Linked DNA regions of Rattus norvegicus. The main gene of each other region encodes a partner of the protein of the gene in region 2 in a complex. Links are inferred from orthologs where the notes say so. Each region holds a gene or a part of one and is shown on either strand. Other genes may lie near its edges.

Region 1 (4,302 bases), on a different chromosome or scaffold from region 2:
GTGTTTCAGAGACGAGTGGAGCCAGATCAATGTATTAAAGGGAGCTAATGAGATAACCCTTGCTGTTTTCTGGGCCACACAATGCTCGGCGAACAACCAGAGCCTACACCAGGGCTCCATGCTGTCTCCTGGAACACCCTTTAACTAGAGAAATGTCTGGCTTCTTCATGCTTACACTTGATTCATTGCCTCCTTCTGGTGAGAGCACTTTCAACAAGGTCCTGGGTGGGTAAGTCGAACCCGACCCACGTGTGCTACCTGCCCCGGGGCTTGTCTACCTTGTCATCTCATAGCTCCCTTCAGAATCTACCCAGTTTATAACTTTGATTTCTGTGAAAATATAACCCCTATATATAGGAATTTATACCGCAGTTAACACGCTCCTAATAAGCAGGTTCTGAGAGGTTTGGTTGGGAGGGACAGTTATTCACAGGAAGTTACTGAGGTTGAGGAAAGTTAAGTTGAAGAAGTAGCATGGGAGAGTGGGTTAGAAACCCCAAACCATTGTCTTGAAAGGTCTTCCTTTGATGAATGGCTAGTCTTCCTGGACATGGCTGACAGTGCCATTTTCTTGAGCTTAGCATACAAGGTTGGGTGGACAAGTAGGTGTGCATCCTTTGAAAAATTGTTTTATTTTTATTTATTTGTTTTGATGGTTGGCCCATTAATGGGGGGAGGTCTTTGTAGAGATATTCTAAGTAGTTCTGCCTACTTCCTGTCCTCACCTGTACCTTGTATCCTGTCTGCCTGCCAGATGCTGTTTCAACTTAAGCAACTTCAGGATTTCTTCCTTCTGACTTCTGAAAGTACTCTGACGTTAGCAATGTCTGGGTTGTGTTTGGGACATGACCCAGGACCTAGGGCTTCAGAGTTAGAGAAGCAAGGTCAGCTCTGGACAGATCAGGTTACCCAGCAAGCTCTGTGGCATTGGCCATTTATTTCTGTCCCAGGACTAGAAGAAACCTTGGACTTGGGCATCCTCTAGTGCTCTGTGTAGGATTACCTTGGTTGGTGGGGTTGGACGAGGATTCTAGGTTGAGAGTGGATATATGTTTGGTTGGTGTCTGTTAGGAACACACAGAAGTGCCTCTGACCACCTACACCCACATGCCTGTTTGGGAGTATGCTCCAATCCAAGTGCACTTGGTGCCACCATATATGCACCACTCTGCCCTGTGTCTCCATCGCCAGGGTGGTTCGAGAAAGTCATGAAGACCCAGGGCACCCCCTTCTGCAGAAGTCCACGTTGGGGAAACCGGGCAGGCCAGTGGCGGCAGCGTGCGGGGAAGCGCCCCCTGCCCCCTCTGCCGGCCGCTCTACCTGGGTCTAGATGTCAGCCGCGAGCTCCGAGCCAGCTAGCGAGCCAGAGAGGGAGCGGCGGCGGCGGCGGCGGCAGCGGCGGCGGCGGCGGCGGGCCGCGGGCGGCGGGGAGGGGAGGAGGCGAGGAGAGGGAGGGAGGAAGGGAAGCAGGGAGGGCGGGAGGGAGGAGAGGAGGACCCAGAGAGCGCCAGGCAGCTGGAGTTTTGCAGCGCTTGGCCGGGCTTCAATGCACAGCAGCAGCGAGCCGCGGCGGCAGCAGGCAGCCCGGGAGCTCCGGCGGCGGCCGAGCCAGAGGCGGCCCCGCTCCCTGCCCCCTGCAAACTTTGCTAGCAGTCCGCCCGGGGGGCCGGGGACGCGCCTGGGAGGCTCGGCTTGGACCACGGCCGCACTCTTGGCCGCCGCAGCGCTAGCCGCCGCCGTCGCTGCTACCACCGCAGCTCCGCGCCTCCCCAGGGAGCTGCTGGCGGCTTCCGAGGCCCCCCAGCCCCGGCCCCTGGGCACTGCCCGGCTAGTCCCCGGCCAGGGGTGGGAGCAACAGCGGCGCAGTCAGCCCTGGGCTGCCAGGGGGTGGCCGTCACTGCCCAGGGAGACGCGCAGAGGCTCGCAGAGCGCTCCCCGGCGGGTCCCCAACGTACTCGCCGCCGCGCCCGGGCAGCGGCCCGACCCGGCTAGCATGGGCGGCGCGGAGTGACGCCGCCGTGCCCGCTTGGCATCAAGGACATTCAGCCCGCGGGGGTGGGGACGAAGGGGGGCAGCCCCGCGTCGCCGCCGCAGCCCCTGAGAGCCACCGCTGTCGTTGCTTGGGCTCCGGGGCTGGATGGAGGATAGGGGTGCTTGGAATTGATCTACATTTTCTGACCTTTTTGTTGGACATTACGCCCACCTTGGACGCTGCAAGAGGAGCTGTCAAGCCCGGCAGGCTCTGATTTGGCCCCCTCCGTTTTTCTCTGCTGCTCGTGGCTTCCCCGTGCCTTGGTGGAGTATTTGCGTTCGGGGCTGGGGCTGGAGGAGGCAGCCACACGCGCGCACACGCACACGTTCAGAGGAGGGCGAGAGGCAGCGGTACAGGCACCATCTGCAGTGTCAATGCGGCGCTGGGGCTGAAGGAGGGAAACGCCGCGCTTCCAGGTAAGGAGCCGCCGGCCGGGCGCAGGGCCAGCTGGGCAGAGCGGGCGGAGGTGCCGAGTCCGGTCCCGGAGTCCTCATCTGCTCCGAGGCAGCCCACTACACACACACACACACACACACACACACACACACACACACACACACACGCAAAACACAAATCGCGTGCGCGCACACACACATACACACACACATGCACACACTGCGCTCACGCACCTGCCCACGTCCCACCTGGACACCCGCGTAGGTGCATCGCAGTCGGAGCAGGGATTTCCCGTGTTCTTCTCCTTTCCGGACCTAGACTTCTCTTCCCCAGGACTTTCAGGGTGGGATTCAGTTAAATGACTGACTCTCCTATCCAGCCTGGTAGCATGAGGGAGCGATTTTGCTGTTTCTAGTTCCTTTCATTTCCTAACTGGTTTTTATAAGACAGGAGAAGTCATGGGAGGTCTTACGAGACCCGCCCAGTGCAATTGTCCCCTTAGCTTTTTTTGAATACTCGGAGATTTTTTCCCCTTTCTTTCTTTTCTTTTTTTTTTTTTTAAATAGGAGAAAGGCAGAGAGATATTGAAAGGGCAGAGATCTAGAGATCTTGGTGACCGGGCGCCTGGGAGGAGGCCACATAGGCAACTGGGGCTGCAGTTCTGTAGGGCGGCGCATAAGGAACAGACTCTGCGATTCCCCGGTAAAGGCAGCACACACGCCTTTCCGAAGCGTGGCACTGCTTCCCCGGAATGCGCTGGGATTTCAGGCAGGGAGGGGCTTTGACATCAAAGCTAGAGGAGTGTTCCTTGTCTAGGGAGGATGCTGCGGTCCTTTAAGGAGGATCAGACCTTATTTGCGTTGCCAGTCACTGGTAGACAACAAGCAGACAGGGCTTAAGGGGCACATGTTTGCAGCCAACCCCTCACTTCCTTACCCTCTGTGCATGTGAGGCGACTTCCCCCTGTGCCTTTAGTTAACACCTGTCACATGTCTTTTGGGGTGTGTGTCTGAGAACACGAACTAGGAGGGAGAGTAGAGACGGATTTAGACTAACAGAGAAAGGACTGTGAATATGCCATATTCACTTTATAACGTATTTGGTCTACTAGTGTATCCAAGTATGATAGGCTAGTAGTGTAACCCAGAGTCTAGATCCTCTGAGTGCAGGATTGCTCTCCAAAAACCAATGGTTTAAGTTGTACTTCCCCAGAGCTCCCTGCCTCCACCACCCCACTTTCAGATCCTGTTCATTTTGAAACTTCCTAGAATGGATGAGGGTGGTTGAAGTTCCAAAGGGCTTTTTTATGGCTCCCTTATTAGAGTCTAAGAGAGACTTCCTTTGGGGCTCAATTTTTGCAAGGAGAAGAATAGAAGATTTAAATAAATCATTATTTCAGGCTTGAATACATATATAGCAAGTTTCTATGTTCCTATAGCTGTCCCTTTGTGGTATTTTGTGGTTGGTTGGCTGTTTTTGGCATCCTGGCAAAAATGGGAATTGTTTCTATCCTCTTTATAAGAGAGTAGATCTCACACACCCCCCAAGTCTTTGGCTAGGTTTGGGTGGAGAGCAGATGACCCAGGAGGGAAACTCAATTCCTGTTGTGTAGTGTAAGCTGCCCTTTGATTGACTGAAAAGGGTATAAGCCGGAATAAAGGAAAGCTCTTCACAATGGGGAGACCGCAGATCGCAAAGAAACATTATTTTCTTTTTAGGAATGGTGGGTGTGTACACGTCCGGCTGTACACAGGCATTCTTAGAGCCCTGCCAAGTGCAGTCAGCTTGTACAAGCACAGGTGACGGGGTGTCCACGTCTGACTTCTGGGCTGTGACAAACATTGGCACGTTTTGGCATGCACACACTTGGAGTG
Region 2 (3,511 bases):
AGAATCAAACTCTTGGGCACACTCGAGAAATCCATAGACCATTAATGTGAACTAAAGGGAAAATAAAAACAATTTTTAAAGATGCCTAAGGATTGATGAGGTAGCTCAGTCATGGGGTAGGGGGGTTGGGGAGGGCTTGCTTTGTAAACACAAGTATATAAATTCAATCCCTAGAATCAATCTTTTAAAATTCAAAAGCAAACAAGCCAGTGTGGTGGCTTACACTTATTTTCCTAGCTCTAAGGACAGGTATATCCCTGAAGTTTTCTGGCTAGCTAGCCTATCCTATTTTTGGAGTTGTAACTTGTTAAGACCCTGTCTCAAAAAACAAAGTGGCTAGCACCTGAAAAATACCCAAAGTTGTTCTCTATCTTCTACAAGCATAGTATGAGCTCCCACACACATGCATGCACTTGACTATAGAAGCAAGCATGTGCATACATGTGTGCGCACACACATACACATGCATACACACAAGAATATAAACATATATACATAATAAATATGTGTATTGGAAAAGTGCAAGAGCAAAAATAACACATCAAGCAGCCAGCAGGTCAGCAGGTTCCTTCCAAGAGGAAAGTGTTCAACATCTCACTTAGTCCAGGTTATCCGAGTGTACATGGATATGCAAAAACATTTTAAAGTCAGACACTTTCTTCAAACTCTGTAAATAGACTGCTTAGACACTACGTTTGATAGTATGAAGACAGATAAAATTTGTAGCCTGTGATGCCATGATACAGGTAAACAGTACCCAGAGTCTCTTTAAAGCCTCTTTGAGCAAGGCCACCAGTGCCTATGGGGCTCCCAGTAATTGCATCTGCTCTCTCCACTGCTTGGTTCCTTGGTACCCAACCCAGGAGAATGTGTTTTATGGGTACTACTTGAGAGGAGAAAGAAAAAAAGAGCTGTAGATTTGGCTGGTCTCCCTGACACAGAGTTTTGCCTCAGCAGGAGATGGCAACTTCATCTATTCCCAAGCTGATGAAAATCAGAAAGGCAAAGTAGCCCGCCTGGTGAGCCCTGTGGTCTATTCCCAGAGTTCTGCCCACTGCATGACCTTCTGGTATCACATGTCCGGCTCTCATGTGGGTACACTGAGGGTCAAACTGCACTACCAGAAGCCAGAGGAATATGATCAACTGGTCTGGATGGTGGTCGGGCACCAAGGAGACCACTGGAAGGAAGGGCGTGTCTTGCTGCACAAATCTCTGAAACTGTATCAGGTATGAACCCTTCTACAAAGTGAGCGCTGGAGCCTTTGGGACACTGGGTTACTGTGTGAAATTCACCACCCTCAACTCTTGCCTCTGTGATGTTTGTGTTAGTGACATCTTACTGTCTCTTAGATGACAGCTGGGAAAAGAAAAGAAAAATCACGTTTACTCGTTTCAGAGATATCACAGATACCATCCCTTTTGCCCAAATATTTTCTTTCCTTTTAAAGTTTATCTTATGAAAACCGCAGAGGTCGGGATCATCTCTGCCACTGGTAGAGAAGAATGGGTAACTAACCTTTGTGCAATCTCCTCATGAATTTAACTCACATGCAGTCTCATGAACGTATGCTAAAGCTTCCACCGAGAGAGTGTTTGTGAACATTGATGCTGAAGACAGAACTTTAGTATATCATGAAAACCATCTCTTTTTTTTTTCAGGTTATTTTTGAAGGTGAAATCGGAAAAGGAAACCTCGGTGGGATTGCTGTGGATGATATCAGTATTAACAACCACATTCCTCAGGAGGACTGTGCAAGTAAGGATGGGTTTGAGCTGGAAGTGAACCAAGTCCTTAGCCCTGGCAGGATCCTTAGCATATGGTAGACTTTGCCTTGTCATTTAGACCAGAATTCACATGCAGGATAAAAGGGTCTAAACGTAGGTCAGTTCTTCACTTACTTCCTGTCTACCTAGCTACTTAGAAAGTCTGATTGACACCTCCAGAATCCAAAGACTGTAGCTTAGAAGTCACATCTGGCCTATGGTAACGTTTTGATGGAGAGTAGAACACTCAGACATCTGGACTATTCTGGTATCTGAGCATGGAAACAAAACAGTGGGCCTTCGAACATGTTGATCACAGAGAATTTAATTAAGATTACATTGTCAATGAGTCACAGATACCAACATTCATCATTGCATAATAAATAAGTAGCCACTTCTGGCTCTGCTCTAGCCGACGTGACTTGGCAGGTAATGGCCATTCAGAGATCTGCCTAACAGGGTTGTCAGGCCCTTCTACAATCCACAGATGAAAGTCGGACAGAGAAAGCCAATTCATATTCCCCAGATCTTGATCCATAATTACAAATAGCATCGCTAATGACAATGTAATAGCACAGTAATTAGTCTTAGGCTCCATTTGCTACACTGAAACTTTTGTTCTATATCATTACATAATAGTCTGTTAATTATAACAGAATGGGATAAGCCTGCTGGGCAAATTGAAGACAAAGGAGGCCAGTTGGCTGCAATGGGTTTTGGTCTTTTCTACAACTTACAAGTCTTTTATTATTATAATACATTGAATATATGTAATCCTTAAAGGGGCAATAATTTGATACCATCAATTGAAGACACCGAAGGAGCAAAAACAGTGAACAATGCTCTGCTTTTCATTCTACATAAAGAAACCTTGTCAATGCCACCATACCCAGCAGCTCTGCAAATTCGTATAGTTTAATAGTTCATCTGAGATTATTTTTGTAAATTACTCATTTCTATGGCTATCTGGCAATTCAAGTGTGCATCCCCTATAGTTAACACAGTATGTGTAATACTGTGTTCCTCTCCCAAGTGCTGAAACCAAAAAGGAGTTGTTTCAGGGATAGAAGAACAAATTCCATAAATAAAAACAACAACAACAACAATAAAAAAAAAACTCAGTTCAGGCCAGCAAGTCCTAACTGGCTATGTACTATATACAAAGCAATGTGCTAAGTGATACAGGAAATTATATGGACATTGGTCTTGTGAACTTTTTCCTACTTAGATATACCAGTAAAGAGTGCTCTGAAAGGGCTGGGGAGACAAGCTGAAGACCTGAGATAGACTAGGTACCGGGATTCCTAGAACCCAAACACAGTAGCACACATATGTTATCTCAGCACTGTGAGGAAGTTACAGGTAGATCCCTGAGCACCTGAGCCAGCCAATCTCACTGAGTTCTAGGTTCAATGAAAGATCCTGCCTCAAAAATTTAGATGAAAAGAAATTGAAAAATGACTCTTGGTGTTAACTTCTGGCCTTTACATGCACATATGAGTAATTATATAATTGTTTTACCAAATATATCTCATTGAGCAACCTAGCCAGGGGGGGCTATTAATGCCAACCACAGATGAGCCATTCATTTGTACATGTTTACGAACGTTATTGTGTGCTAGACAAGATTTTAAATTGAAGAATACAGGACTCAGGACTGTTTCCAATCCTGAGGCTCCATAGAATTTTATTTTATTTATTTTCGATAAATCACAGGAAGAAGTTTACTAGCTCAAAGAGTCATT

Evidence for each region. Proteins that work in one complex are often made in the same cells at the same time.
Region 1: the proteins of Nrp1 (region 2) and Plxna4 are in contact, whole or in part, in a cryo-EM structure (PDB 7M0R), measured with the Mus musculus proteins. The link is inferred for Rattus norvegicus from reciprocal best matches to the Homo sapiens genes NRP1 and PLXNA4. Residues at the interface, in NP_032763.2 of Mus musculus: Arg80, Tyr84, Asp126, Tyr127, Glu128; in NP_786926.2 of Mus musculus: Glu272, Lys340, Lys343, Lys345, Leu349.

What each region holds. Positions count from the first base shown.
Region 1 is NC_086022.1:62,126,640-62,130,941, reverse strand, and holds the start of Plxna4 (plexin-A4 precursor), read left to right. Parts: upstream 1-1,496; 5' UTR 1,497-2,448; intron 2,449-4,302. UniProt on the Homo sapiens protein: Coreceptor for SEMA3A. Necessary for signaling by class 3 semaphorins and subsequent remodeling of the cytoskeleton. Plays a role in axon guidance in the developing nervous system. Class 3 semaphorins bind to a complex composed of a neuropilin and a plexin.
Region 2 is NC_086037.1:73,403,051-73,406,561, forward strand, and holds part of Nrp1 (neuropilin-1 precursor), read left to right. Parts: intron 1-957; coding exon 958-1,229; intron 1,230-1,661; coding exon 1,662-1,758; intron 1,759-3,511. UniProt on the Homo sapiens protein: Cell-surface receptor involved in the development of the cardiovascular system, in angiogenesis, in the formation of certain neuronal circuits and in organogenesis outside the nervous system. Mediates the chemorepulsant activity of semaphorins.